Linked DNA regions of Macaca mulatta. The protein of the gene in region 3 purifies or fractionates together with the protein of the main gene of each other region. This does not show direct contact. Links are inferred from orthologs where the notes say so. Each region holds a gene or a part of one and is shown on either strand. Other genes may lie near its edges.

Region 1 (5,273 bases), on a different chromosome or scaffold from region 3:
GCTAGCCACAGCACCCTGCACAGTGCCTGGCCCAGAATAGTTGCTCAACAAACATTTGCTGGCACACTGAAGTGGCGAGAGAGAATATACCTGCCAGGGGCTTCTACAAGAGTGGAATGGGCCCACTTAAAAAAAAAAAAATGACCAGGAACAAGACAACCATAAATAGGGGTCTCCTTCCCCAGAGGCAGGGAGGAGACAGAGTTCGCAGAGGGGAGAAAGTCACTTCCAGGGAAAGCTGTCAGCAAGAGGAAAAGAGTGCATAGAAAGCCTGGCATGGGCCACAGATCAGGGACTGCTCATAGATCCTAAATTAGGACTGGAGTTACCATGAGGGGAGTAAGGTGCCTGATCAACCATGCCCCTCCCCACTCACCCCCATCAATGCCCTCTATGCAGGAATCATCACTGAGGGAAAACTTCCTTTCCTCTCCAGACACTACTCCACACACAGACAAGACACCTAGGACAAATGCACCATCCTAGGCCCATCTTCCTCTTCCACACAGAGTCAGGAGACCTAAGATCTGACCCTCTCTGTGCTCCCAGCCTGGGTGCTGACTCTCCCCAGGGAAGCCAGAATGGAGGGATTCATAGCCCTCCCAGGCTCAAGAGCCTGTGACTCCCTGCCAGTCCCACCCCTGCAAAACCCCAGTGTCACCTGATGGATTCCCATACATCCCTCAGAGGCTAGCTACAGGCTAAAATATGTGTTCCCCACAAGGCAGAGGTCAGAGCAAGGCAAGTAAGTGCAAGCTCCTGGCCTGCTGGAGCCTCCTGACCTGCTGGAGCCTCCGCCTGTCTGCACCTGAGCACCAGGGCCTAGCCGGGTAAGCAAGGCTAAGGGTGGGGTGTGTGCAGGAAATCCCAAGAGGAGAACAAAGAAGGGGGGCAGTTCTCAGAGGTAATCGAGTATCTGGCTTCTTCAACTACTCACAGATGCCACCAAGACCCTAAACTCTATACAAAAGCTGAAAACAAAAGTTGAGAAGGACTATGGAAGACCCTGGCACTTGACACCCAAGGGGATGTGGGGAATGATTATACGTGGGGAATAAAGACGGTGCTCTTTACTCCAGAGAGGGATTACCCTGCAAAGCTTTGTCGAAAGTATACAAAGGCACAAATTGGGCATTTGACGAAGACTTTTGATTCTAGCTATGATTTGTGTACACCCAATTTCACAACTTAAAGCTGCTTGGACATAGAAAAGCACAGTATGGGTAAGGGCACTTGCATACAAATGCTAGAAGCCTGGGTACAGACTGGGGTAGATTCCGGAATTGAGGTAGGAGGAAATAGTACCTACTTCTTTGGTCTCTCCTTGGCCTGCCCTCCCCTTTCACTGCCTATGAAGTTGGAGCCTACATCATGTCCCTGAAACTGCACAGAGAAAACTACGACGTGTACCCTTTTAAGTTTACCGGAGACTTGAGATAAAGTTGCCACTTGAGGTGTGTGCTGGGATACCCACTCCCCTCGGCTGGGCTAAGGCGCCTCTCCTGGTGGCTACCACGCTCCAAGGGCACCCGAGGGAGCACCCGCAGCTGCGCCGACCCGCAGTGTCACAGAGAGAAGGGCAAGGAAGGGGACGGGGACCGGGAGCCGGGGCCCCGCCGGCCGGCGCAGCGCGCTCACCTGGCCCGCAGAGCCGGCTGAAGTGGTAGGGGTTGCAGCACACGGTGGGGCCGTCGGCGGCGGCGGCGAAGCTGTGGCAGCCGCACAGTGGCTTCAGCTCCACTGCGTGCTGCAGGTCGGGCCAGCGGAAGAGGCGGCCGAGCAGCAGCTGCGGCGGCGCGGGCTGGCCGCCCAGGCGGAGGTCGGCTCGCGGCACCAGCACGCAGCCGCCCGGCACGCCGCCGCGGGACTCCACCGCCTCCAGCAGCGTGTCCAGCGAGCGCTCCTTGAGCCGCTTCAGCAGCGAGTACGTGACCGTTTTGAGTTCCTGCTCCAACAGCAGCAGCCGCGAGCGCGCTTCGCGACTCCGCCCGCCGCCCGCCGGCTCCAGGGCCGCCCCGGCCAGGGGGTCGCTGGCGTCCCGGGGCGCGCCGGCGGCGTCCCGCTCCGAAAAGAGACAGCAGGTCACCGTCTCGCAGTCACTCTCGGGCAGCCAGCCCGGGCCTCCCGACTCCGCCACGTCCAGCAGGGAGCCCCCAGCGCCGGCCCCCGGCTCCGACATGGGCCTCGGGGGGCCCCCTGCGCGCCGGCGCCTCCCCGCGCCCTGGGCGCCTCGCTGTCCCACTGCGTCCCGGGGCCGCCGCGGGGCTACCGGGCGGACTTCGGAGCGGCCGCAGCCTCCGCCCTCTCTTGCCCGCGGGGCCGGCTCAGCTCGGCTGCCCAAGCTCCCATCCTCGTCGCCGCCACCACCGCCGCCGCTGCCGCCTTCCTCCCGGTCGGGGACCACACGACTTCGCCAAAGTCGCCGCACCAGCCCCGAGCGTTTGGACCTGAACATACGATATCCTTTGGCGCCAGGGGTGGGGGGGAGGCGGTCTCCGGTTACCGGGGGTCCGTTCCCTCAGCGAGGCGCCGGCTGCGCGGGTCGCAGCCCCACATGAAGCTCCGCCGCGGAGCGCCGTGCAGACCGTGCACAGCCTGTCGTCGAAGGGGCGCCGCAGGGCGACAACATGAGGGAGCTCGCCGAGGCGGGACGGCCGGGAACACGCGCACGCCGAGCCGCAGTCCGCGCGCGGCCAGCGGCTACACGGACCGCAGCGTCGGGGCTGCTCAACAACTCCAGTCCCCGCGCTTTAAGGGGCTGCAGGCGGCGCACCGCCAGAAAGACCCCACATGGGCCGGCGAGCCTTCAAAAGTTGCGCGGCTGGTCAATGAGCACAAAGCGCTCGCGCGAACCCCCAAATGTGTTTGGAAAGCCCTCCCTTTCCCCTGCCTTATTTTAAACCAAAGCGCTTAACTACATGGGCTTTTCCTGCAGGATCCGAAAGGCAGGCTTGTTGATAACCCCAGCTCCCTTCTTACTCCCTGCAAAAAGAAAAAAAAAAAAAAGGAAAGAAAGAAAAGGAAATCCCAAACAAAACCTAAATCCCTGGATTTGCATGCACGAAAGGCCAACGCCGTCTCAGGTCCCAGGCGCTAGATGCACTTGGAGCGAGTTTCTCCTGGACGCGGGTGTCAACACATGAGTGGAAGCTGTAAAAATCCCAAAGAGCTGCTGGGAATCCTTAATTAAAAATGCAGTCCACCGAGGCAGAGGTCGCAGCCCGCCCCACGCTGCCCTCGGACGCTTCGTGCGCCGACGCTGCCGAGGTCGCCCCCCCTCCCCCCTCCACAAAAGTGCCTCCCGGTGGCCCCGGGGTCCCAGCGAGGTCTGGCGAGGCAGCGCCCAGCGGCTCTTTCTCTCGGCTCGGCTCCCTCGATCGCTCCCCTGCTCCGCTCGCTCTCTCTTTTTTGTTCTCCTCAAACGCACACTGAGGGCCCCCGGAGGAGCGCCGCGGAGTCATTGGCTGACTCCCATCATATGCCAGTCTAGACACTTTGGCGGCTCCGCGGCGCTGATTGTTGCGCAAACAAGGTTTCAAGTTTCTTAACTCTTAAAGGAGAACACGTCCCATTGCAGGGCCGGAGGCTCCAAGGGGCCGGCTCCCGGGGCGGGCCGAGCTCTGGCCCCCGCCCCACACCGCCCCGGCACCCCAGCCCAGGGCCTGACAGCTCCCGCGGCCCGCTTTCTGCCTCGCGTTGTGCCCAGGGCATGGATGCGAGCGAGCACACACGCGCCCGCGGACACACACACACACATACACACAGGGTTACATGAGCCACGGGCAGGCGCGCGAGGCTCGGCGGACCCACTGAGACTCGGACGCAAGCGGGGCGCTTTGCCTCTCCCTGGCTTGTGCACAAACTTATAAACACACTTTGCACTTTACAGTTGTTCCAAACCCCCATCCCAGGGCAGGCTAATAAAAATGGGTGTGCGTGTGTGCCTTCCTGGGTTGAGCCTGAGGAGCAGGGGGCGGCGGATATGTTGGGGTAGCGGATCTTCCGTGACTGCACGAGGGGCTCTACGCTCCTTGCACAAAGTTGGGGGTCGCTCTGCCGGGCCAAACAGGGAACTTAGGGCGCTTTGCGCACGGTGGCTCCAGGCTCGCCCCGAGTGGAGAGATGGAGAGGGTGGTGTAGAGGCGGGGAGTGTCTACTCGCTGGCTCCTCTCGGTCGCCACGGCCCTCCCTCGGAGCGAGGCGGGCCGCCGGCCGGCCGGGCCGCCTCCAGGCTGGGTGCTTCCTCTCCCCTCTCCAGTTTACTCTCCGCACCTCGGAGAGGGCTGTAGGTGAGGGATCACGCTTTCCCTAGCGAGGTTTCCATGCGAAAATTAGGGTGAGTTGGGGGCGGGATCCGGGGCGCGGCGGCAGCAGCCTGACGCCTGGCGCGGGAAGGGTTAAGGCCGCTCCTGCCCCTGGAGCCGGCGCGGCGGGGTACCTCCTCGGGCGCGCTAGCTCGTCCGAGGGTGGCAAAAGTTCAAGCTTGTAAAGTCGGGATTGGTCCCGCGCGGAGGGGAAAAAAGGCCTGGGCCCCCCTCCCCCCCCGGGCGCGGCGCCGATTGGCCAGGCCGCGGGGCCGGCACCGCCCTCTCCCCCCGCTCTCGGCGGCCCCACCCCCGGCGCGGCGCCCCGCCCCTTTCCGGGCAGGAGCCTGGCCCCGCGCTGAATGAAAGAAATTCCGCTACTCTCATTGGCCCGGGACTGGACGCCATTCTCCCGCGGTGGCCGCGGGGCGCCGGCGAGCGGGTCTCCCTGGAGGGTGGCCACGCGTGGGGCTGGTCTGTGGCGTGCGCGGCGGTGCGAATCCCCGGCCGTGCCCAGAGGCTGTGTGCGCTGGGGGAAGGGTGGCATTTGCAAGGAGGATTCAGAACCATTTGCTGAGCTTTACCTGGAGCCAGGTACTGTTCGCGCTGCGCTCTCTGGGAGTGGCGGTTGCTCCCCGAACGAAAGATGGGACTGAGACACTTCCTCACACCCATCTCCTACTTTGGCCAAATTAAAGTAGCGGTCCTAGCCTCATTTTCTTGTTTGAAACCGCGGATAAGGATGCTTGCCCTTCGTGCTTCACAGAACCACGAAGCTCCCTGGAGATTGTGCACGTTAAATGCACAAATCTCAAGCGAACAGCAGGATGAATTTTCACAAGTGAACAAACACACAAGATGTCACCAGCACCCAAAAAGCAATGCACCCCAGAAGCCCGTCTTGTGGCCCCTTTCAGTCACTTTTCGCCCCTGGGGAAATTAATACATCTTCAAATACAAAGAGAAACT
Region 2 (5,253 bases), on a different chromosome or scaffold from region 3:
CAGATGTTAATAGGAAATAAATGGAACTGGCTCTTGTCATTATATGTACATGGTACATATAAAGCAGCAAACAATGACATCTTTTAACTTCTCACCTCAAGAGAACATGTTCCTTTACAATCAGCTATTCACTGTTAATTACATACAATTTATTGAAAAGGTTACTTTTATCAACTGAAAGTACTATAAATCTGCTGTGTGAGGTAGCTCATGCCTGTAATTCCAGTCTTTGGGAGGCTAAGGGAGGAGGATCACCTGAAGCCAGGAGTTTGAGGCTGCCAAGTGACCAATCCACTCTAACCTGGATGACAGAGGGAGATTCCCAACTCAAATAAATGAATAAATAACTTTGGATTGCTGTTTCTCAGATCATCTAAAATAACCATTCCTAAAACAGATCTTATTTCTTTGGGGGTGGGGGACAATACTTTTCCTCCAAAAGTTTCTTTTTATGCTTCCATCTTTTAAAGTAATTTTCTTCCAATTGATACTGAATTTGTGTATTAGTCTGCGTCATTCACTTCAGGAAAGCGCAACCATAAAAAACTCCCACTGTCAAAAATATAACATTTCCAAAAAAAGTTCCTTCATGACACCAAAAACCCCTCATCCCTCATCATCACCTAGTTCTTCTGGAAAAGGCAAACACACTTTCCATAAACTCTAGTACCTTTAATAGTACAATTATCGTAAGGATAGGAGAAACAGAACAAGTCAAAGATATTCAATTTGCCTGGAAAGAAAGGGGATAGGAGGCAGGAGAATTGCTTGAGGCCAGGAGTTCAAGACCAGCCTAGGCAACATAGGAGCCCCTGTCTCTATTTTTTTAAAAAAGAAGGGGGTGAGGGTAGGGAGCATAAGAGATTTTAAAATAAAAACTTCAGGCCAGATGCGGTGGCTCACATCTATAATCCCAGCACTTTGGGAGACCAAGGTGGGTGAATTGCTTGAGGTCAGGAGTTCAAGACCAGCCTGACCAACATGGTGAAACCCTGTCTCTACTAAAAGTACAAAAATTAGCTAGGCGTGGTGGCACGTGCCTGTAATCCCAGCTACTCAGGAGGCTGAAGCAGCAGAATCACTAGAATCCGGCAGGCAGAGGTTGCAGTGAGCAGTGAGATCATGCCACTGCACTCCAGCAAGGGCGACAGAGCGAGACTCTGTCTCATTTAAAAAAAAAAAAAAAAAAAAAGTGAAATAAGCACTCTTGTTGTATAGTAAATATAGAGGGGAAAGAGAGTGAAGGATAAACATAGCTTGCTTGCTTCACTCAAAGGTACTTATAAAGACACCCAGATTCAGCTTTGATTTTTAAGAGACTACCCTTGTGACAACTTACTTTGGAAAAAATAGTCGTGTAAATACAGAAAATACTAAATTCAACTTCATTAATTAATTCAACATTTAGGTGCTTATGTGCCAGAAACTGAGCGAGGGCAGAGTCCTTGTTCTCAAGGGCTTTTACATGTAATCTATCTCCCAGTTACTGAGTACCTACTGAGGCAGATGCGAGGGATACAACAGCAAACCGGAAACACAGATTCTCTACCTTCATGCAGCTTGTACTGAAGGAGGCGAATGCAAGGATGAGACACACATTTAACAAAGATACAACACTAAAGTGTTATAGATATCGCTTATGGAAGTGTAGAGGTTTCAGTGGGGACGCAAGGGATTCAGGCTGGGAGGAAAGGGAATGCTGGGACTTCAAATACGAAAACTGAGTTCTCAAAGAGGATTAGATGTCCACCTGGCTGACCTGGGGGAAGGGCTCCAAGCAGACAGGAACTGGAGCAAAACAAAGGTGTGAACAGCGTGTTGTATTTGGTAGGCCTGGAATACAGAATGTAAGAGAGAGAAGTTACGGAGGCTTCTGTATACCACAATCAAGACTGGACCTTACTGGTATATACGAAATGCCCCAGAAAAGTTTTATTCAGACAACCAGCATATATGATCAGGTTTTTCTGGTGTGATGAGACATTGGTTTACACAGGAATGAGAAAAGAAAATACTAGATAATGATGTCATCACATGAAACAACAAAGGAGCCTGCCCAGCCAGAAAACTAAACTCTTTAGGAAAAAATTAAGTACTACTACTATTGAAGCCCTCTGGAAAAGGTTGTATTCAGTATCATCTAAAATGGAAAAAGTATAGGAAAGGTTTTCAAACATATATTGTGGATTATGACATCCACATACCTATTTAGAGTTTAAGAGGTCTTCACTCGAATTCTGCAACACATCTGGGACTACTGATTGTTGTACAAAAAGCAGTAAAACATATTCAGGAGAGTCTTTGATACAAAGGGCGAACACGCGTAACCGAAGGAATTTCCCAAGCTAGGTTTAAAGGTTTCCAAAGTTGAAGCTAATCAAGTTTTCTTAAGTCAGCACGTTTAAAAGGTGTGTCATAAGGGTGGAGCAAAAGGAGGAGGGATTAAAATTAATATATATATATATAAACAAGTAACTCGATGTCGCTAGGGTTAAAATCACCACTTGGAGATCCGTCTCCCAAGCAGAGGCAGAAATGAAGACCTGCCAGATCCAATTAACAAAAAGACGAGGGAGGGGGTAAGAGGATGACCACACATGAAAACATAAATGGGGCGGGGGGGGGGTGCTTGGCAACCACCTATCCAGAACCCATAATCCAGTTGGCGGTGCGATGAGGAAATCATACGATTCAGACATAAAGGCAGGAAAATGTCACTCCCAAACTCCACAAGCGAACCACCAGACACTGGCCAAGGGGATGTGATCACATACTCTGATCCCAGAACTCAAGGGCAGAGAGTATCATCCCCACACGGTGCCCGAGGGGAGGCGAAGAATCAACCCTATTCTGAGATCAGAGAGCAAATGCCCTCAGATCCAGCCCTAAGGGGGTCAATGCCGCCCAGGCCAGGCCTTGCCGAAGCCAGGGGCAGAGATGGCCCCGAAGCCCCCTCAACCTCCACCAGAGCTGCCTCTACTTGCTCCCCCCAACACACACCCTCCCCTACCTGATATGGCGGCGGCGGCTCCTGATCCGGCTCCGTCCCCTCGCCAAAGCTAGCCCGGTCAGACTGAGACTCGTGAAGCAGGGAGATGTCATCCGAGGTGGGGGATTTGAGGCAGTTCCCCATCTTCCGGAGCTGGGGTGCGTGATCTGGGGGAGGAGAAAGCAGCGATGGGGTCGTTCGCACGCTCAGCGGTCCGCCTCGGTTGGCAAGGTGGGGTCGGGCGGCAGGCCGGGGATCAGGCGGAGGCGACTCCACCGCCCCACGGTGCCGCCAAGGGGCCGCTCATGCCAGCCCCCGGGGGTGGGGGCTCAAGGCTGGGCCGCGGGCTCCGCTGGGGTCGCGGCGTTTGCCTCCTGCGAGGCAGCGATGGGGGGGGGGGGCGGGGAGACGAAGCACTTCCCCACCCCGCCCCCCCGCGGGGCGGCGGCGGCCACGGAGCTGCTGGGCCTAATCCAGGTCAGCAGGGGGGGGCGCGGCCGTCGCGGCTGCCTCAGCTGCTGCCTCAGCTGCTGCTGCCCCCGCCGACGCCGGAGCCACGGCCGCGGGCCTCATCCTACTCCGCCTCAGCGCGGCAGTGGCGGCCAGAACGAGGCCGGCTCGGGCCCTGCGTCATCGCGCCGTGCGTGCTCTGGTTCCGCCCCCGGCGGCAGGAGGCGAGGGCGGCTCCGGCGGCTCCGGCGGCTACCATCCCCCTCTCCACCAGCAGCTGTTCCCCGTCCTGCGTCAATTTTTGCTTGTCTCTGACTGCTTGGCTCCGTACCTGACTCCGAAACCAATCTCCCGTCTCCCGCGCCAACCCACATTCGTTGCTCCCGCCCCGTCTAAGGCTCAGTTCTTACCTGTGCACTGCCTGACAATCTTCTCACCACCCTCCACGAGGCAGTCTATTTATATAAACCCATATCGGAATGGATTAGGCCCATGATTAAAATGTTAAAAGGCTTCCCCTTTATCGCATCAGAATAAGGTCCTAGCTCGTTAGTGAACCCTCCCTACCTCTCCAGTCATGTCCTTATCCTCCCACATCACAGCTGGAGAGATTCTTCTTCCAGTTGTGTATCAGATTGTTCATTTCTTTCCAGTCCCAGTACCAAAGTCCAAGCCACCATCATCTCTCACCTTGACTTCTGCAATAGACTCTCAGCTGTTCCTGAGTTCATCATTGCCCACATCCAATTCACTGTTGGCACAGTTGACAGAATTATCTTTTTAAAATTTGAATCGGATCGTGTCATTCTCCTGTTAAAACCTTCAATGTCTCCTCAAGGCTGTCCTTAAAACAATCCCTAAATGGTTTACAAATCTGACTTCCTTTCAATCTCATTATCAGCATTGTCACCTCTTTCTCAAATTCTAAACTAGGCTCTCAAATGCTTTTGGTTATCTGGAATACTATTGCCTCTGCCTGGGGCCTATGTCCATATTGTTTCTCTCACAGAAACCCGCTTCTCTCCACTCCCAACCTTTCTGCTTCTTATCAGGCTAATCATTATTCTCAGGAATCCTTCTGGATGCAACTTCATTTCCCCTGGGGAGACTCTCCTGACCCTCCAGTCTGGGTTAGTCGCTTCCTCTGTGCTCTCACACAGCCCGATCAAGCTGAATCATCTGTCCCTCTGTGCAAGGCTGGCACACTGCCCAAGGTAGAGTATGCTCTCTCCTTGGTTCAATGAACAGCTCAAACAACATATGCAAAAGAAGGAAGCAAGGATGACAGTGCTCCTGATAGACGTTCATTCAACAGGTGGTCTTGACTGCCTTTCGTTTTATTCATCATTTACTGAATTTGTGTGTGCGTGTATATACCAGAATCCACGCTAAGGACTGGGGAAAAGGATGATCACACCTGGCTTGTTGCTGATAGAGCCCAGAGACCACCTGGGAAGACAAGTAATCAGATGAGTCCTAAGCCCACACCCTGCCACGGACCCCAAGGTTTTTAGAGGAACCAGAAGACAGCAATTAGTTCATTTGAGGAACAGAAAGGATTCTTAGAGGTAGGGCTATATTAAACTTGAATGGGTCTGAACACTCTTACTCTGCAGTCCCTATTCTACGAAGTCACTATCTTATTTAAATGCACTCAAATTTTTGATATAAAATTTTTGAAAAGACTCATAATTTTGGGCCGGGTGTGGTGGCTTAAGTCTGTAATCCCAGCACTTTGGGAGGTTGAGGCGGGTGGGTCACTTGAGGTCAGGGATTCGAGACCAGCCTGGCCAACACGGTGAAACCCCATCTCT
Region 3 (4,476 bases):
ATACTACTAATCCAAGTGAACAATCCAATTTTGCCTAGCAATCTTAGCCGTGTTCCTCTAATCAATACTTCCCTATTCTCTAACAATTCTCCCAATTCCTTCTTTCCTTCGAAAGTTTTTCCTTTCTTCACTCTTAGCCAGTGACTTCTCCTTATACTTTGAGAAAACAGAAATCAGTGGGTGGTAATTACTTTCCCTTCACAAAATTTGAAATCTATTTTAATTCTCCCCTTGACTCAAAAATCACTCAAAAGTGGTAGATATTGGATCTACCACTTTAATTGAAGGCAGAGGTCTTCAAATTTTGGTCACAGGACTCCTTTTCACTCTTAAAAATATTGTCAACCTTGGCTGGGAGCGGTGGCTAATGCCTATAACCCCAGCACTTTCAGAGGCCAAGGCAGGAGGACGGCTTGAGCCCAGAGTTTAAGACCCACCTGGGAAAACATAGCAAAACTTAGTCCCTACAAAAAATTAAAAAATTAGCCAGGCATAGTGGTGTACACTGGTGGTCCCAGCTACTGGGGAGGCTATGGTGGGAAGATTGTTTGAACCCAGGAGGTTGAGGCTGCAGTGACTTGTGTTTGTGCCACTGCACTCTAATCTGGGTAACACAGCAAGACTGTCTCGGAAAAAAAAATTTCCAACTGCAAAGAGCTTTCATTTATATGAATTATAGCTACTGATATTTAAAAGTTAAAACATATTTTATTTATATGAATTATAGCTACTGATATTTACAAGTTAAAACAGAAGTTTAAAAAGTATTAATTCATTTTGATATGAAAATAAACATTTTAATGGGAAAAACCCAAGTATTTCCAAAAAAATATAGTGGAAAGAGTGATTTTGTTTTATAGTTTTGGAAATCTTTTAAATATCTGGTGTAACAGAAAACATCTGGATTCTGATATCTACTTGTACATTTAATCTACTGCCCCACACAGAAAAATAGTTAGAAATAGAGATATACTCTACTCATCTTGTCAGATAATTATCGATATTATTCTTTGATACTAAATTTGACAAGGGAATGCACAATATGGTTCGAAATCAGGTCAAAGAACACTTTGTACTTTGTTATACAAAATTTACTGTTCTCTCTTGCACTTTGTTTTTGATTTGATTTGATTTTTTTTGAGACAGGGTCTTACTCTGTCACCCAGACTGGAGTGTAGTGGTGTGATCATGGATCGCTGCAGCCTTGACTTCCCTGGCTCCAGTGATCCTCCCATCTTAGCCTCCAGAGAAGCTGGGACTACTGGTGTGTGCCAACACACCCGGCTAATTTTTGTATTTTTTGTAGAGACGGGGTTTCACCATGTTGCCTAGGCTGGTCTCAAACTCCTGAGCTCAAGCGATCCTCCCACCTCGGCCTTCCAAAGTGTTGGGATTATAGGTGTGAGTCACTGTGCCCAGACTCTCTTGCACTTTGAATAGATCTTTTACTCATGCGTCATTTTGTAACATTTGTTGTAGCATTCACTGATCATTTGAAAATAATGACTCATTGAATTATAAGGATTTTCTAAATGTTGACTCATTTAATTATATAATAGGAAAAAAAAATCACATTTGTTAAAATACCACTAATCAGCCGGGCATGGTGGCTCACTCCTGTAATCCCAGCACTTTGGGAGGCCAAGACGGGTAGATCACGAGGTGAGGAGTTCGAGACCAGCCTGACCAACATGGTGAAACCACGTCTCTACTAAAAATACAAAAATAAGCCAGCTATGGTGGTGCGCACCTGTAATCCCAGCTACCCAGGAGGCTGAGGCAGGAGAATCGCTTGAACCTGGGAGGCGGAGGTTGTAGTGAGCTGAGATCGCGCCACTGCCCTCCAGCCTGGGTGACAGAGCAAGACTCCGTCTCAAAAAAACAAAAAACAAACAATCTCACTAATCTCATTGACGAAAGTCTTCAGAAGCTCTCAAGCTCATGGTGGTAATTATCACCACCAACAAATGCCTATTGTTTTCCTTAAAATGACAAGCTAACAACATTACTTCTCAAGAAAATGTCTGTCAAATACCTAAGTCTGCATAAACTGCTGGCGGTCATTTTTTCAAGTAAAAATAGTGTTCCATAAAAGAAAACAAGCTAGTTCAGTTTTCAACTCAAACAACTGCCCAAGAGCTTTCCTTTAAGAAAATCATTCTCTGGTGTGCACAAGTGCTATTTCAGACTTCCTATTTTGTCACACAAATGTTAAAAAAACATATACTCAAGCATCAAGATTGAATAAAGTTAGTAATTTTTACTGCTTCATAAAGAACTTCAATGAACCTGCCTTTTTGCTTTTTTTTTTTTTTTTCCCTTGCTTTAAACCTCAAGTATATGGTGCTGAAGAATACAGAGGTAGTAGCAGTTTGGTGCCACTGCCTTGATTTATGCTAAGGCACAAGCAGGTTCACAAACCATTGCTTTTGCACCACAAGTAGAAATTTCAAAATGATAAAAAGGCAAATAATGGCTTGGTATGAAAATAGTTTTGACCTCCTGAAAGAATCACCTATCTCCAGGCTGTCATCTTTGGCCTGGGTAACTATAACAATTTCCTAACTACTCTCCCTGCATTCACCCTTGCATCCAACTCCTCCCCTATACTGTTTTCCGGCCGATTTTTCTGGGATTTATTACTTGCTATTTAAAACTTTTCAAAGCTGTCTAATTTTTCTTTGATATCTCAGTTCTTTATATTAGCCTATAAGGCTGTACATAATTTAATCCCTGCCTACATCCCCCAATTTTTTTCATCTCCCTTTCTTCTGATTTACCAAGTTCCAATCATACCTATCATCTTCATTTCCTTGAAAAACAATTTCTTCAGGGTCTTTGCTTACTTTGGCATTTCTGTGCAAAGAATGTTCTTTCTCTGCTTATTCCCACAGCATGCTCATTATCAAACTCAACTTAAGCAAATTACCCCTTCCAAGAAATCTCCCTGACCACTCAACCCAGAGTAGGTTCCCATTAGTTGTTCTCTATTAGAGTACTCTCATTTTTCCCTTCGAAGGACTTACCAGGATTTGCAAATAGTTATTTGTTTATCTGTTGTCATTTGCGCCCCACCATGGGGCACAAACTTCATAAAAGACAGGGAATACTTAAATCTTACTTTATACATAGTGGGTACACTAATATTTGTTGAATCCATGGATGCATTTCTCAAGTATTTCTATTAATGAGAACACGCTAAAGTGTTCAGTTATAGAATGCTGTATTAATCAATGTGTTCTCAAAATTGAAATTCTGACTACTTTAATGAATACGCAGTTATACTGGATCTTACATATTTTTAAAGGAACAAAACAAAAGATTCTCTGTGGCTTTCACCTTCGTATTTAGGATTCTTGAACTTACCATGTATGGCTTCTTGGTAACCAAGTGTCTTTGCCAACTTTTTCAATGCAAAACTTTTGAGGCCCATTACTTCCTACACCAGGAAAATAAGACAAAGTTTATCTGGTCCTTTAAACTTTTTTCTTCTGACAACTACTTAAATAATAGAACATGCTGCATAATCATATGAATGATACGAAATAAAGAAGAAATTCACAATGTAAGCTGCTTCTGCCTGAAGAAGCTTCTTACTGTTGCAGAGATCCAGCAATAAGAATTAAATCAGTGGGAAGAAAACTATTTATACAGAATGTCGCTCCCTTCACAGTCACCCTAGGGAGCAAAGCAATGGCCACCTCAGCTATATGAGGAGACATTCATTTTTGTCTTACAAGTGCTTTGATATTAGCCATTCATTTTTCTTTCTTCTAAATGAAGTCCTATCTACAGCACAGAAGAGTAATCTTTAGTTCAAGTCTACTGTATGTCCAAAGGCCATTATTATCACAAAATTATCTACAGAGAAATTACAGTGAAACTACATTTACCCATGAGCTCAGCAAATCCTCCTAGAGGTAAACGGCAGGTTCCAGTGACGAACTGCAGTAGTCGCATTCTTACTTCATTGTCTGTCTCTTTCACAAACTGTAATGAAATCCAATGTACTTTAATATGAAATAAATGCTAAACTATATTCAATCATGAAACTAGTACACACTTGAAGAAATTAAATAACACTGAATTGGTTGAAAAGTCGTGTGAAAAAGTGGTTGTAGGGTTTGTCATTTAATAAGGGTGGGCACCATGCTAAGCACACTGTGAACCTCACTTCAGGTCATCCTCATGAGAACACGGAGGCTGGCCACCATCATTACTACGCCCATCTTACAGCGAGCAAAGACACGAGAATCTTGGCAAGGTTAAGTCATTTATGTAAGGTCAAACAAAAGGTGCAACCAAGATAGATGTTGTTGTTGGGCTGTAGTATAACAGCTATTAAGGGTTCCTGCCAAATAGTGTGCCAATGGTTTTCATGGATTTAGTTCTCACAATTCTATGAGATAGGTAGAATCATTAGCATCCCCACTGTACACATAAGGAAATGGAGGCCTAGAGAGTTTAAATGATTTG
Region 4 (4,476 bases), on a different chromosome or scaffold from region 3:
AAAAAAAAAAAAGTTTCAGTGAAAGACTAGCAAGGCTTCAACAGGTAATTATGACTTAATAGAATATATACAGTATACTTCAATGCAGAACATACATTGACAATGTAGATGATAACAGAACGGGCTGCTAAGTATGGGTTTAAAATTCCAGTTCAGTCACTCACTAGTCATATGACCTTGAAAAGTTAGTTAATATCTAAGTCTGTTTCTTCAACTATAAAACAGGCATAACAATAGGCTTACTGTAAATAGGCCAGAAAAGTAGAGGAAATACTTGGCCCATGGTAAATGCTCCAAGGATGGCAGCTAGAGATGATGCTATTATGCTTTTTTATATTTTGCTTCAAAGTAGGTAAAAAGTGCTTAATTCATATTTATTTATTAGGCCGAATATTAAAGAATTGCATCTTCTACAAGGGACTTTCCTTAGATTCTCAGTTGAATTCATCTTTCTTTTAAATTTAAGAAACCTGGACGTCTCAGGATTTGCCTTGACAAAGTGCCACCTTCCCAACTCCAGGATCACTCTGGAGAATCACAGCCAAGATATGTAAGCTATATCTACACACACTCCAACCTGGAGAATTATATTAGGATTGGGAACACTTTCCTGGATGCTTTTCTCAGGTATCTCTTCAACAAACTAAACAAATACTGTGGGTGCCGCATCACCCACAGTATTTTTAATGGGTGGCTAAAGCAATCCTGGCTAAAGTCATGAAACCTTAACTGTCTTTCCCTTAACACTGCGTTACTAAAACCTTTCATCTTTTCCATTCCTTTCGACAAAGCCCTGTGAATTTAACCTTTTCACTTCATCTATAATAATCTCCAGTAAAACCACTAAAATTCAAGTGGATCCCCATGATTTCCATATGTAAATTTCAATGTGTTCAAAATTAGACAAAAAGTGACGTGGGGGAATGAAGAACGTTAGAAGAACAAGAGGAGCTGAAAAACACGGGACGTGATGAGTGAAAGAACCACCAGGGCGAAGGCGCAGTCCCCTGGCCGGGCACTGCTCGCCGCGTGGCTTACCCCCAGGGGCGGGAGCCCTTCCACGATGTTCTTCTTCCCAGAGAGGAGGTCCGACACCGGCCTCTTCTTCAGGGAGTCCCTCCGGGCTCGGTAGCGGCCAGACGTGGTGAGGTCGGACTCCGACATGGAGGGCGTCAGCAGCCCGTCTCTCCAGGGCCGCTGGGCCTCTGCGGTCGTGCCGACGGGACTGCTGTCCATCATCCTCTTCTCCGAGTCCGGGACGTGGGCCTTGGGCTCGAGGATGTGCAGGGGCCCGGCGAGCAGGGCGCGAGGGCAGCTAGGTGGGTCCTGGGTTAGGCCAGGCCGGGGCTCGCGCGCACGTCCAGGGGGCGCCCGGGCCCCGCTCTCCTCCTCGAAGTCCTCGTCCTCTTCCTCCTCGCTGCTGTGGATCAGCATGGTGGCGTCTGACAGGGACTTCTCATGGCCGTATCTCAAACCCTCCGCCTCCTCCTGCCCTTCCCGCTTCGTTCTCTCGGTGAAAACGCTGGGCTGGGAGCCCGCCGAGAGGGCTCGCGGCACCACCTCCGCCGCCGACGCGGACAGCGTCCGCTCCTTGAGCCGCAGGCCCTCCAGGCAGTGGCTGAGCCCGGCCACCTCGATGCTGTTCCGCTTGTGCAGCTGCGCGTGGCGCGCGGCGGTGAGGGGCTCGCTGACTTCCTGCAGCGAGTGCGCCACGGGCAAGCTGTCCTCCTGGAACGTCTGCACCGAGTGGTGCACGCGCCGCGTGATGAGGTCGGGGTTGCTACTGCTGATGTACAAGTGGCGGGACAGGTCGGGCGTGCTGTTGGCTGGCCTGGGGGGCGGGTAGGGTGGGGGTGGCCGGTACACCTGCGTCCGCATGATGTTGGGGGCCGGGTAGTCCTGCGCCTGCAGCTGCGCGTTCGTCAGCTCGGGCACGCTGACCGCGCCCACCACGGGCCGCCGCTCGGCGGGGTAGGGGTAGGGAGACGGGCTGTGGAAGCTGTAGCTCAGGCTGAACGGGCAGTGCGCCGTCGGCGGCGAGGGGAGCTGCGCGTGCTCGCGGATCTCGGGCTGGCTGTAGACCAGCGCCGCGGGCCTGCTGTAGGCGTACGAGCTGCCGATGTTGAGGTTTCGCAGCGAGTGGCTCTGCCGTTCCGCATGCACCAGGCCCCTGTTGAGCTGCTTCATCACAGTCTCATAGTCTGGGGTGGGGCGGTAGGACGGGGGTATCAGGGCGCTGTGCCGATGGGATGGGACGTAGTCAGGCCTCATGACGTCACTCCCGGTGATGCTTGGGTTGGACGACATCGGCGAGGGCTGCAAGTAGGGCTGAGGATTATTTAAGGAGTTGGTGCTGTGTGCGCTGTAGACACTGCCGTTACGAATCCGACCATTGAAGTCAATCTGGGCTCTATCCAAGCTTGTCTGAGAGTGACAGTAGTATCCGTTCTGGTTGGGCACAAAGAGGTTATCTAGAAAAAGAATAAGTTCAAAATGAGATTTTTTTTTAATTGGACTAATTACTCCAACCAAATATTGAGATCGGCCCTTACCTCTGAGGACATTTGAACACAGCTTGTAAAAATCCATGCTAAAATGACCTAGCTTTAGCCACACTATCTGAGTGACCCTGGGAGCTTCGGCTTCCTCATCTATAGGATGGGGGTGGCTCTGCCTACTTAAGGGGTGGCATTCATTGGGTGACAAAGTAAGACCCTGTCTTAAACAAACCACACACACAGCAGACTAGCAGACTTTTTGGTACTCTGGGGAAGCTGAGGCAGAGATACCATTCAAGGCACTGGGCTGGGGACTCTCTTCCCTGGGTAGGGATGTGGCCTTGCTGCTGCTGAGCCAGTTCAAGCACCGACTGTCTGTAAGCATTTCCTTAACTGGAATTTTTGATTGTTCTTCCCAAATGAATACACAAGCTTCGACTGTAAAAGGGTAATGGTATAGCAGGATCTGAGCTTCTCTGGTCCAACAGTGTCACCAGCAGCCACACAGCCCATAAAGTGTCCAGAGCCAAGAGGAGTCACATTAAAACAGCTGCAGCTGCCCCCTGCCCTGGCTCCCATGTTTCAGGAAGATTCAGACCTGCAGCTAACAGAATCAGTTTAACCTAATCTTACAACAGCTATGCATGTGTCCCTGCCCAGGGATGACAGGGGCCATGTTTCTTCTAGTCAATTTGTAGCTCACCTGCCTTCTGTTACTGAGGATGATTTCTAACCCTAGATGATTTCTAACACTCAGCAGCCAACTCCTTCAAATAACAATTTCCTCTGAAAGGCATTATTTGTGCTTCAAAATCTCCACAGTGATTTAAGTGATACTTAATATGCCACAACCCGGTGGGTACACTTTATTCTGGTGGCACATAAGGCTGTGAGGAAATAGCATTCAAACCTCCATGGTATTCTTCTGCTGACACACAGCACTTCCTTGTCACTGTGCTTTCCTTGTCTATGCAAAGCTTGGTCGTGGCTCCATCTCTGCAATCCCACTTTTCTCACTGCTGTCACAGCTCGGGCCCCTACCCCAGGCTTGTCTGAACTAGCTCTATATCCACCTAGTCTCCCTGCTTCTGCACCCCACAAACCATCTAGCCATTTATGGTACTGTTATGTGGAAAAGGCAATACTGAGAATAGAAGGGGAAAAAGACAGTTGGAATACAGGCACGAAAAGGGGAAAGGTATGCATGAAATCACCATAATTCAAGGAAGGGAGAAGAGATAAAAGGTTACAGGAGTCCAGAGGAAGGAATGGTCATTTCCAGCCTGGGTGGGGTTGATGGGGACAAGGAAGAGAGAACCAAGAACCACCTCGCAGAAGATATGGCAGTTAAGGGGACTTGAGGGGTAAGTGGGTGAGGTGGGCATGTCCAGCTTCCATCAGAAGTGAGGTCTCTCAACCTCTCAGAGCAGGCAGGATTATGCCTCCTCACCCCTTGATACCAGGCACAGCAATGCGACTAGTAATGGTCAAGGGAAAGTGTACAGAGAGTTAAAAGCCAGCTTCCAGGCTCTCTTCCAACTGCAACACTGACCAACAAACAACATTCCAGAGAGAAGAGGCTCTCCAGCTCAAGCTCCTACCGCAGACTCACAGAGGGCAGAGCCCTCCTGCTAGTGCAGTGTGCAATGGACAGGTGACCCTTACTATTACTTCCCTGAGAGTTTGGAATGGAATATTTTCTCAGCACAGCATAGCCCTGCCTATCTGGTCTGGATGGCATGTGAACAGAAGGGTGCATGAGGTAAGGGCACCTGGGGGTGCAGAGCAGCACTGGCAAAGCCAGGGAGCACCCCCCGGAAAGATGGGGTGGCTGGAGTGTCAGATAGCTACAGAGGAGTAAAATAACTTGGGAAGTAAGGTTGGAAGAGCAGGCTCAGTGAATATTGTGTGAAGTCTCGAACACTAGGCAAAAGAATGATCCTGTAGCTGGGGGCGGTGGCTCATGCCTATAACACCA
Region 5 (4,936 bases), on a different chromosome or scaffold from region 3:
ACTTCCTCCCTACCAAAGCTTTAGTGTTTGTTTTCCCTCATTCCTTAATTGGCTAATTAAGTATTTCATCTTATCTCTTTCTCATGCATTATCTCTAACAAAGCTCACAGCACTGTTCTGAGGCTTAAAATGAATTTTTTAAAAACACAGCATTTGGTGACTAAGTAATGAAGCTCAAATGCAAGAATTTGACGAAATCCTTGCTCAAAAATGACAAGAATATGAAACCCAGGAGGGCTATAATATGCAATCAAAGGGTTGATGTTTGCTTCCCTGGAGCAAATTTAAACCTCTAATAAGGAAGGAAGGCACTGGAAAATAAAAAGTCCTCATAGTTCTTGACACTTAGCCCATACGTCCAGGGCAAGTAAGAATTATTCTAAAAATTCTGATTTTTCTCTGAATTCCTTATGGTGCTTCCCTATTAAAAGTCTAACTGTTCTTTCTAGTACAGCTACCAGCGTGACACAGTATGCACAAACCTGAATAACTCAAGTGTTAATAATAATTACATGTTGAAGCCAATGATGGAAACTGGGCAAATGCCTGGGATTCGCGGGAAAGGGCTTCTCTTCAACCATGTCTCTCATGCAGGTCCCCACACCTTCAGGAAACCTTCTGTGAAGGGGCTGTTCTTGAGATAAGAAAAGATGCTGGTCGAGGGGCTTGGATAAACACCCAAAGGTGTAGGAAGTCACTGTGTTCTTCCTACTCTGATGTACTGGCCTGAGGTCACCAAAAGCTGGATGTCTGCCACTTCGGCCAGGACTCAGCCACTAGGAACAATACTACAGCACCACTTCAGTCCAGTGAAGAGGCACCCTTGAAAGGCAAACCACGTACAGAACGCTACTGCATTGTAAGTAACTTTTCTAGCCAGGATTTGCTGAATCCTGGGCCATTAGGCTACAAAAATCTGCAAGAAGATAGTGTTTTCTATTTTCATAAAGTTTCAGAGAGAAGAACGACAGTCCTTACAACTGTGCGTGCTAAAGCAATAGTAATGACTTCAAAGTAGAGAAAAGTATAACAAACTTCGTGACATACAGATGAACTAATTTTGCACCACATGGCCACCCATTCAGACTGGGCAAAAAGGGCATCATGCCATTCAGCTCCCGCTCATTAAGGCTGTCATTTCTATGGCACAAGCTTTAACCCCATCACCAAACAATTAGGTAACTTTATAATACAAGGTCCGTAAAGCCTTATATTACCACACCTATGGCTGTCAAGCAGCCTTTTAAAAAAGGAATCATTGTTTGAATGTGGGGGATAAAAAAGAAGAATAATCAATACCATGTTAACGAAACCGAGCATGGGCCAATTAAAATTTAGATGATCATACAACAGCTGCTTGTGGTAAAACAGCAGCAGGCATGGAAGTGTATCCAAAGAGGGAGGCCTTGGCTCCACTGGAAGCTACTTGTGGTTCCCATCAGTGGCTAACGCACTCCTAGATTAATTTCTTATATTGGGGGTGGAGAGAATGCTATCCCAGCAACACCGCACCAACATGGCCATAAATGCCCCTTGGGCCCCCAGATGGCTAGGGAAACTTTCGGTCCTTCTTGTGTTCACTCTGCACCAGCTGTTTCCTCTGCCTGGAATACACCCTCCAGATGAGCACAACCTCCATTCTCTAAGCGCAGTGCACGCCTCACCAGGACCAAGCTCGCCTCAGACTCTCACAGAACCCATCTTCCACGCATTATCATTCTTCATCTGCCTTCAGGTTTCCTCCACTAGGCTGCAGACTCCTGCCCTGTGATCTCGTTTAGCATCTTTCTATCCCCTGTTTCTAGCAGAGTGGAAGCTGGGTTTGTTGGATGAATGAGTAAACTAATCCATTTCAAGAAGTTAACACATTGGTGGAAACTCTGTAACTGCCCGCGCCTGCAATCTAGAGATTTCTCACCTTCACAAAGAACCTGCGACAGCCAGTCCCCAGACTTAAGCGGAAACCCTACAATCTCTGAAATTGTAGGTGGGGATGAGGGGGCTGGAGGACAGGAACTGAAGGAAGTGAGAGGAAAAGGGAGGTAGGGGCAGCGTTACCTCACTGCTCTCTCCAAACGAAAAGGTGTAAAACCCATTTACAAGTATTCAAACCCGAGATCTGGGGGTCACGTGGGGAAGGAGAGGCTGTTAATACCTAGAACTTGAAAAGTTTGAGGTGGAGACCTGATCTGAAATTGTGTGACCACAGCTTTTTTCTACGAGCCAGCCCGACCACCCAAGTAGGAGCCTCGACGCCCAGGAGTTCGGTGGCACCACTGAGGCCTAGTGAGAGGGCAGGAAAACTCCGCTCGCCTCAAGATCCCTTCCCGGTGGTGGTGGGGGGGTAACTGGGGGCGTCGGGCAGCTGCGTCCCCCTACCGCTGCAGCGACCGCGACGTCGTTCGTCTTTCATCCTCTAGCCCCCAAGGTTTAGGTATCTCCAGGTGCCCCTCCGAGGCCCTCTCTCATTCCCAAAACGCAGAAGGGAAGGGAGAGAGAAGACGAGGGTGTGGGTTTAACCACAAACTCCCCAGACGGCGCTCACCTTCCAGCTCGCTCCGGGACAAGCTTTGCGCCTCACCACGGGCAGCTCCCACCGCGAGATAACACCCCTGCGGCCCGGCCACCCAGCGCCCCCGCTGCCCTGCCAGGCGTCCCGGGCCGCCAATCGCAAGTTGGCGTTGCCAGCGTCTGCCCAAGTCATCTGCAGGGCGCCCGGAGCGCCGAGGCGGCCTCCAACCTCGGGCCCGACTCCCCGGCTTGGACGGGGCTTACCTGCTTACATGGCCCCCGTGGCGCCCCGGAGTCCCGCGCGGAAAGGCTGTCCTTCGCGGCGGCGAAGCCCCGATTCCCCACGGAATTGATTCCAGTGGCTGGCGGAGGAGGGGCGAAGGGAAGGAGCCGCAGGAGGCGAAAGGGGAGGGAGGTTTCCGCCGCGATCCCGGCGCGAGAGTCGGAGCAGAGGCGCACCGGGGAAGAAAAGGAGAAAAACCTAAGCACTGGCTGTCCCGTTCCAGGAGGCCGGGGAGGATGGCTCAGCTGGGAGGGGAAGGAGCGCCAGTGGCCACTTGTGTCTGTCTAGGGCTCCCCAAGGACCTGAGCCAGCAGAGCAGGCGGCCGAGCCCGGAGGAGCACAGCAACCTGCCCCCGAGTCTGCGTCCCCTGCGCTCACTCCACGGAGAAAAAGTTGGGAAGAACTTTGAGGGGCCGGGAGAGCCAGAGCGGCAGGAAATGCGAGCGGCCGGCAGAGGAGGGAGGAAGGGGCCGTGCGAGTGGGAGGGGACGGAGCAAGCGCCGGCGGCCACGGCTCCCCCACCCCAGAGCCGGGCTCGGCAGCGCTGGGGGCCTGGAGGCGGAGGGAGCGCGGGGCGCGCGGCCGGGGGCGGGGAGGAATGCGGCCCGGGAGGGCGCGCGCCGGGGGCGCCGCGGGCGCGCGCTGAAACGTGGAGCCCCAGCTCCAGAGCTCCCAAGCTGGAGGCGCGCCGTCCTTGGGGACGTCACAGCGCTGGAATCCGAGGAATGCCGGGCTGCAGGAGCTCCTTCTGCAGGCCCGGAGAAGTCGCGCACTTTTAATGGTGTAGTTTTGGAAAATGTTTTAAAAGGTGGGGGCCGAGGACGGAGGACCGGATGAAACTCCCTGGAGTAAGAGACGTTGAAGTGGAGAGAGCGAGGCGACCGCAACCACCCCAACCCTGTGCCGCTCCCGCCGTTGGGAAGAAAGAGGCAAGGAAAGGAAGATCCCACCTAGACTTCCGAGGACCGCAGAGACGGGATGGCGGCAGGATCTTGCCCACCCCGACCTAGATCAAGGACAGTCCACCTTATATTGGGGAACCCTCCAAGCAGGACGCCTCATGCAGCCACCCCACAGGGGAAAACAGACCAGGAGAAAGTAAGGTGGCCTCACCAAGTAGGCAATCTCAAAGATCTCTCCCTAGAACCTCTGGGTACTGGACCCGGTGTCTTAGCCTTCTCTCCCTGCCCCCTCCTGCCCCCTAGGAATGATAAAAAGCAGCCTCTGTGCTGAGAGTTGGAAAATGTCGTTTTCCCGGTTTGTTCCATGCCACAGAATCGCCCCACCCTGCTTGGGTAGGCACTGGGAGGGAACTTCCTTAGCACTTTCGGAGGTGGAGTTAATGAGACGCAGCTGGTATGATGGAAAAAGCTTGGAGCCAGGAGACTGAACCTGAGTTTTAGGCCCTGCCCGATTGGATAACTGAGGAGTATCCCAGCCCCTGAGATCCTAGGTTTCTGTAGCTGTAAAATTAAAGAATTTGTCTAGATTTCTGTGGTCCTTTGCATTGCTAACATGTCTTGGGATATGTTATCTTGCTAAGATTCCAGTCCTTTGTTGAAAAAGAGCCTTGAAGTCGTTGTCACAGAATGTGCTGTCCCAAATCACTTCAGTGTCTGGCAACTCATGCAAAAATTCCTGGCCTCTTGGGGAAGAGAACTGGAAACCAAAAAGCACGGTGGCTCACACCTGTAATCCCAGCACTTTGGGAAGCTGAGGCGGGCGGATTGGCTGAGCTCAGAAGTTCGACACCAGCTTGAGCAACACGGTGAAACCCCGTCTCTACTAAAATTCAAAAAGTTAGCCGGGCGTGGCGGCGTGCGCCTGTAGTCCCAGCTACTTGGGAGGCTGAGGCAGGAGAATTGCTTGAACCCGGGAGGCGGAGGTTGCAGTGAGCCGAGATCGCGCCACTGCACTCCATCCTGGGCTACAGGGCCAGACTACGTCTCAAAAAAATAAAATGAAATAAAATAAATAAATCCGTAGTGACTCTGATTTTCTTCGAGCATCTGCCAATCTCTAGAACTATAAAGAATTAGAGAAAACGCCGAGTGCAATGCAAAAGTGATGGAAAGAAAAGGTTGAAGGGAAATCAACTTTCTCACATTTTAAAGGAAATAGCTGTACAGACGCGCTAGGTTT
Region 6 (5,052 bases), on a different chromosome or scaffold from region 3:
GAGGCGGTGATTGCCTTGATATTTAGCTGTCAGATAAACAAAAGAGGCCGCCTGGCGCCAGCCTCGGCGCTCCGCTCCTCCACGTCTGCGGCCGCCGCCGCCGCCGCGCTCGGCTGGCCCGGCTGGAAACCACCGGCTCAGCCGGAGCCGCGCACTTCACAGTTCACAGGCGGGGGGCGACCATACCCCCTCCCCGTTCTCGGACTCCAGACCCAGCTCCCAGCAACCTCGGTTCCCCGCCCTGGCCCGCCCCCCAGGGGTGCAATTCACCTCCGCCCCCGCCGGTCCGCTGGGCACCCGCGCGAGGGACACGGGGCTCCCCATTCCCAGCGCACTCGGGAGATGCAGCCCAAGCGTGCTGGTGAACTTGGGGGATCTGCGGTCGCCCGGGGTGAACCCTCACATCACACTCCGTGTACAGAGACATACAGAAAAGGAAGGAATGGAGAAAGCTGACAGGATAAAAGGGAAGAAGTTTCAGGGTCTCAGCCGAGAAGCCCTGGCCCCAGCGCAGTAAGGGGCGACAACGTCACCGAGGCGCAGGGCCCCACTAATCTATAGACTTATCTGTGCGGAAGGAAGGAAAAAGTAGGGGACACCCAACTTCTCCTGGCTGTTTGTTCCTCTGCACCCTGGGGCTGGCAGAGTTGAAATGAGACAGATACCCAGTTCGGCCTTCCATCCAACTCTCTTTGCCCCAAAACTCCAAAGCTGCGCGGCCACGACAGTGTCTGGGCCACTTGTGTTCGACGTGATTCTCCTTATTTACTGAAGGAGTAAATACGGAGACCTTCCAGCCTTTTTATAGCATGCTTCTCCCAGCCTTCCTTGGCGGGCCTGGACCAAATCCAACTCGGTCACACACCTCAACGCCTTTCCGGGTGCGGGGAGGCGTGACCCCCCCATCTCCCTCTGCACCCCCTTGTTGATCCGGAAATGAAGGCGTCTAATTTTTAACCGCAAACTGTGTGCAGGAGCAGTGCCCATAGACCCCTTCGGGGCAACACAGGAGAAATCCTGGAAGGGAAACCCCAGGGAATGCCCTTTGAGTTTCCCCGTGTCCCTTCTCTACTTTCGGCCCCCAGTCTCCTCCCAGGAGGGGATGCACACTCCCCCTGGAGGGGTGGCTGCACAAACGCACTGCCCTAAGGGCTTTTCTTCCAGCACTGGCGCGCCGGAAAATGCTGGGGGTAAGGGGACAACTTCTCACCTAGTTCGCAGAGTCGGCTAAGGTGATGGGGGTTGCAGCACACCAGCTCGGGGTTGATCTTCCCGTAAGATTCACAGCAACACAGCCTCTTGACTTCCGAGGAATGCCTGAGATCCGGCCACCTGAACACTTTGCACAGCAGGAGGGGGAGCGAGTAGGACGAGGGCGGCTGCGCAGGCTGCGCGCTGGCGGGCGCCCCCGGGCCCAGCCTGCAGTCCAGGCGGCCGGGCAGCAGGAGGCACGCGGTGCGCGTCCCGCCGCGGGACTCCACGGCCTGGAGCAGCAGCTCCAGCTGCCGCTCCTTCAGTTTCTTGAGCACCGAGTGCGTGAGCGCCTTCAGATCCGCTTCGGCGCCCCCGGCCGCGCCGGCGCCCGCGGCTGGCGGGTGGGGATGGTGGTGACCTTTGGCACCTCGCACCGCCTTGCCCAGGCAGCATCCAGCCCTGCCCGGGCCGCCGCCACCGGCCCCATGCGCTCGGCTGTCCGTCGCCCCTTCTCCCCGCAGCTCGCCGCCTCCTCCACCTCCCCCCGCGCCCTCCTCCTCGTCCTCGCCGCCGGGCGCACGGCTCCTCCAGAGACGCCGGACGAGCGCAGATCGTTTGGTCCTGAACATGCGGGGCGAGGAGGCGAGGAGAAAAGTCGTTTGGCGGCTAAGGAGCGAACATGACCTCCGCACACCATGAAGAAGTCGGGCGCCGAGTTGGGGCAGCAGGCGCAGGCGACAGCAGCAGCAGCAGGGGCCCGGGCAGGAGCGGCGGCGGCCCGAGGGGCGCTCCGTGGCATGCGCCAGTCTCCCGGAGGCCGGGGCGCGCGCGGGGGCCCGGGGGCGCCCGCCGGGGATCGGGGGCCTGCGCTCCGGCTGCCCCACCCCGCGCGGCCCGCGCCCTGCGCGGCTCTCCGGCCCCGGCGCGCCCCGGAGGAACCCGGCCGCCGCTTCCCTGGGGACGGCCGAGCCTGCCCCCGTCGGCGCCTCCCCAAAAAGAGGCCCCCCCGCAGTGGCTCCCGAATGTCGGGCTCGCCAGCCTCGGATTCCTACATGGAAGGTCCGCGGAGGCAAAAAAGCGAAAGGCGTTCGGCTGGGCTGCTGGAAGAAGGAAAAAGCCTCTTTCCCCCTTGCTAAGCAACTTAATTTGGGGGTGGGGAGAAGCAGGCAATTAAAAAAAAAAAAAGCAAGCACGCAATTTATTTTTTTTCTCTATATCCTTAGTAACCGGATCTCCTCGAATTCTGTGCACACGAAGACTCAGGGGAGGGGGCCGAGTGGACTTCACCCCGCATGAGATGTCTGGCGAAATAAGAAGGCTCTCGCAAAACCTAACAACCAAATATGCAAAGCCCCAAATGAAAAACACCACCTCCTCGAACCTCTGAGGTCTGGGGGCGTCCGGCTGGAGCTGGGGTTTAAAAAAAGAAAATGTTTACAAAGTATAACAAGATGTTTGAGGGGTGGAAAAATGTATCCACGAGTTACATCCCCCCCTTTTTTCCTTGCAAAGCCCCGCTGGTCTTCCTCTCCTTCTGCCAAAAAAAAAAAAAATCGTGTATTTTTTTAATCCACAGAAAGCTTTGGCTAGACCGCTTCAATCCTGCGCATCTGGGTGGTTTAGGGGAGTCTCTGGTCTTTCCTCCTGCGCTCCTGGGGGCCCAGGTCCTCGGCGGGGACTTCCTCGAGGCTGGCGGGGGCGCAGGGGCAGAAGATGCTGCGGCGGCGGCTGAGCCCGGCGGGGCTGACAGCGCGGGGGAGGGCGGCGCGGCGGCGGCGGCGGCGGAGGGCCCCAGGCGGGTCGCGCGTTCTCGCCCCCCCTGGGCACAAGCTGCTTGCTAGTGCGGGGGCCGCCGGTGTCCCTTCCCCTGGCCGCGGCTGCCCGCCGAGGGTCCCCGCATGGGCTGCTCGCCTGGCCCCAGCAGCGGCGGCAGGAGGCCCCGGTGTCCTCTCGGCGCCTCCTCCTCCGAGACTCTCCTCGTCGCGCCCGGGAGCCTCCTTGTCCCCGGTCCGCCCTCTCCTGGCGCTCTGGTCCTTCTGCCGCCGCCAGGGGCTCGCCGCGCCGCACTCTGGGGCTCAGGGGCCGGGCGTTCGGCGGCTCGGCGGCGGCGGACTGGCTCTGTCTCGGGCAGCTCTCTCCCGCGCGGCGAGCGGACCGAGCACGGCGCCCGGCTGGCTCGGCTGGCGCGGCTCGGGGACAAGATCTTCAGTGCGCCGAGCAGCAAGCGAGTGTGCCCAGACCTCGCCGCCTCCCGCAAGGCCTCCCGCCCCCGCCCCCGCCCCCTTCCCTCCCCCTTCCTCCCCCTTCCCTCCCCCGCCCCCAGCCGCCGCCGCCGCCGCCTCCTCCCCGCCCCCCCGCACCCCCCCTCCGGCCCTCTGCTCGGCTGGTTCCACTGCGCAGTGGCGCGCCCGGCTCCGGCCTCGTCACGTGGCCGTCTAGACACCCTGTCGCTTTAAAAAAAAAAAAAAAAAGCGATTGTGTTTCGCAAACAACAGATCGGGTTTCTAAAAGCTATTTCTCCCCCCAACCCCCCGCCACCGCCACCCCCTCCCGGGGCTGTAGATGGGGTACCGACGGAGGGGAGAGAGAGGTGGGGGGCAGAGAAGCTCCCAGAATCGATTGAGCCCCGGCGGGAGCCATGGAGAAATTGGAAAAGCAGGGAGCACCGAGCGGGCTTCGCTGCGAGTTTTGGAGCTTAGAGAGCCGGTCGGTGGCCCGATTTCGACCCGGCTGGGCTTCGCGGTGGCCATCTCGCGCGCGCTCGCTCTAGCGCTTCATTCATTGGTTTTGTTTTAAAGGCCCTGGCGGCGGATCCCTTGGCCGCGCCGGAGGGCAAGGGGAGGAGAGCGCTGTCTCGGTTTAAAAGACATTTATACGGGACTGGACCGAGGCCCCGGGAAGTGTGCGCTGAGGGGAACAGCCGCCGAGGGCGGGGAGGCGGCGTGAATATGACCTCAGCGGCGGCCGCGCGCTCCCTCCCGCCCTCTCCGCTCCGGGCTCCGGTTTCTAGGACTGCCTGGAGAAGTGTGTCTTGTGCACAGCTATGGAATGCATTTGGCCGGCTGACGAGCTGCGAGGGGCAGCCTCCTGGCGGGAGAAGGGGAGCGGGAGGCGGGGGCTCGCCTGCGCGCCGCCCGCAGGTTTCCTCCCGGGCCCGGAAGACCTCCGCCACCAGCCACCCTGCCTCCTGGCGCGGGAAGGTTACCCAGCGAGCAGACCTGCCTAGGGCATTTATTTGCATGCAGGGCCTGTTTCTGGGCCTCGTAGCTTTCAAGGTGCTTAGGGTCAGAGAGTTTATACCTTGACCCCAGGTCCCGAAGAAACATATACTCAAGCTGGCGAGTTACTGCATAGAAACGGGCATGGCATTGCTAGGGCATGAACGCATATACAGCGTGAAAGCTGATGGCTCTGAGAAACGTAATTATTTAAATACACACACATCAGTATTGATGAGGCCACTGGTTGGCATGGTGATCTAACCTCACTTCATATTCAGTGAAATACGATTTAAAAAAAAAAAAAAAAAGCCATTGAGAATTATGAGATCAGGCCCGCAGTGAAACTCATTGGGGGCTTTGAAGAATCTTTTTTCTTTTAAGAGTCTCACTCTTGACCCAGGCTAAAGTGCAGTGGCTCGATGTCGGCTTCCTGCAGCCTCTGCCTCCCCGGATCAAATGATTCTCCCACCTCAGCCTCTGGAGTAGCTGGAACTACAGGCGCTTGCCACCACACCTGGCTAATTTTTGTAATTTTTGGTAGTGACGCGGTTTCACCATGTTGGCCAGGCTGATCTGGAACTCCTGACCTCAAGTAATCTACCTGCCTCGACCTCTCAAACTGCTGGAAGTACAGGCG

Evidence for each region.
Region 1: the proteins of WWP1 (region 3) and SMAD6 purify together in Homo sapiens (affinity purification with western blotting; 3 studies listed by BioGRID, with this or other methods). This does not show direct contact. The link is inferred for Macaca mulatta from reciprocal best matches to the Homo sapiens genes WWP1 and SMAD6.
Region 2: the proteins of WWP1 (region 3) and RNF11 purify together in Homo sapiens (affinity purification with mass spectrometry; 3 studies listed by BioGRID, with this or other methods). This does not show direct contact. The link is inferred for Macaca mulatta from reciprocal best matches to the Homo sapiens genes WWP1 and RNF11.
Region 4: the proteins of WWP1 (region 3) and PTPN21 purify together in Homo sapiens (affinity purification with mass spectrometry; 3 studies listed by BioGRID). This does not show direct contact. The link is inferred for Macaca mulatta from reciprocal best matches to the Homo sapiens genes WWP1 and PTPN21.
Region 5: the proteins of WWP1 (region 3) and PTPN14 purify together in Homo sapiens (affinity purification with mass spectrometry; 3 studies listed by BioGRID). This does not show direct contact. The link is inferred for Macaca mulatta from reciprocal best matches to the Homo sapiens genes WWP1 and PTPN14.
Region 6: the proteins of WWP1 (region 3) and SMAD7 purify together in Homo sapiens (affinity purification with western blotting; 3 studies listed by BioGRID, with this or other methods). This does not show direct contact. The link is inferred for Macaca mulatta from reciprocal best matches to the Homo sapiens genes WWP1 and SMAD7.

What each region holds. Positions count from the first base shown.
Region 1 is NC_133412.1:44,192,569-44,197,841, reverse strand, and holds the start of SMAD6 (mothers against decapentaplegic homolog 6), read right to left. Parts: upstream 3,517-5,273; 5' UTR 2,456-3,516; coding exon 1,639-2,455; intron 1-1,638. UniProt on the Homo sapiens protein: Transforming growth factor-beta superfamily receptors signaling occurs through the Smad family of intracellular mediators. SMAD6 is an inhibitory Smad (i-Smad) that negatively regulates signaling downstream of type I transforming growth factor-beta.
Region 2 is NC_133406.1:189,424,586-189,429,838, forward strand, and holds the start of RNF11 (RING finger protein 11), read right to left. Parts: upstream 3,382-5,253; 5' UTR 3,134-3,381; coding exon 3,011-3,133; intron 1-3,010. UniProt on the Homo sapiens protein: Essential component of a ubiquitin-editing protein complex, comprising also TNFAIP3, ITCH and TAX1BP1, that ensures the transient nature of inflammatory signaling pathways. Promotes the association of TNFAIP3 to RIPK1 after TNF stimulation.
Region 3 is NC_133413.1:96,936,373-96,940,848, reverse strand, and holds part of WWP1 (NEDD4-like E3 ubiquitin-protein ligase WWP1), read right to left. Parts: intron 3,991-4,476; coding exon 3,894-3,990; intron 3,440-3,893; coding exon 3,367-3,439; intron 1-3,366. UniProt on the Homo sapiens protein: E3 ubiquitin-protein ligase which accepts ubiquitin from an E2 ubiquitin-conjugating enzyme in the form of a thioester and then directly transfers the ubiquitin to targeted substrates.
Region 4 is NC_133412.1:161,712,483-161,716,958, forward strand, and holds part of PTPN21 (tyrosine-protein phosphatase non-receptor type 21), read right to left. Parts: intron 2,472-4,476; coding exon 1,039-2,471; intron 1-1,038.
Region 5 is NC_133406.1:72,248,383-72,253,318, forward strand, and holds the start of PTPN14 (tyrosine-protein phosphatase non-receptor type 14), read right to left. Parts: upstream 3,508-4,936; 5' UTR 2,776-3,507; intron 1-2,775. UniProt on the Homo sapiens protein: Protein tyrosine phosphatase which may play a role in the regulation of lymphangiogenesis, cell-cell adhesion, cell-matrix adhesion, cell migration, cell growth and also regulates TGF-beta gene expression, thereby modulating epithelial-mesenchymal transition.
Region 6 is NC_133423.1:43,376,799-43,381,850, reverse strand, and holds the start of SMAD7 (mothers against decapentaplegic homolog 7), read right to left. Parts: upstream 3,427-5,052; 5' UTR 1,824-3,426; coding exon 1,211-1,823; intron 844-1,210; exon of another isoform or gene 666-843; intron 1-665. UniProt on the Homo sapiens protein: Antagonist of signaling by TGF-beta (transforming growth factor) type 1 receptor superfamily members; has been shown to inhibit TGF-beta (Transforming growth factor) and activin signaling by associating with their receptors thus preventing SMAD2 access.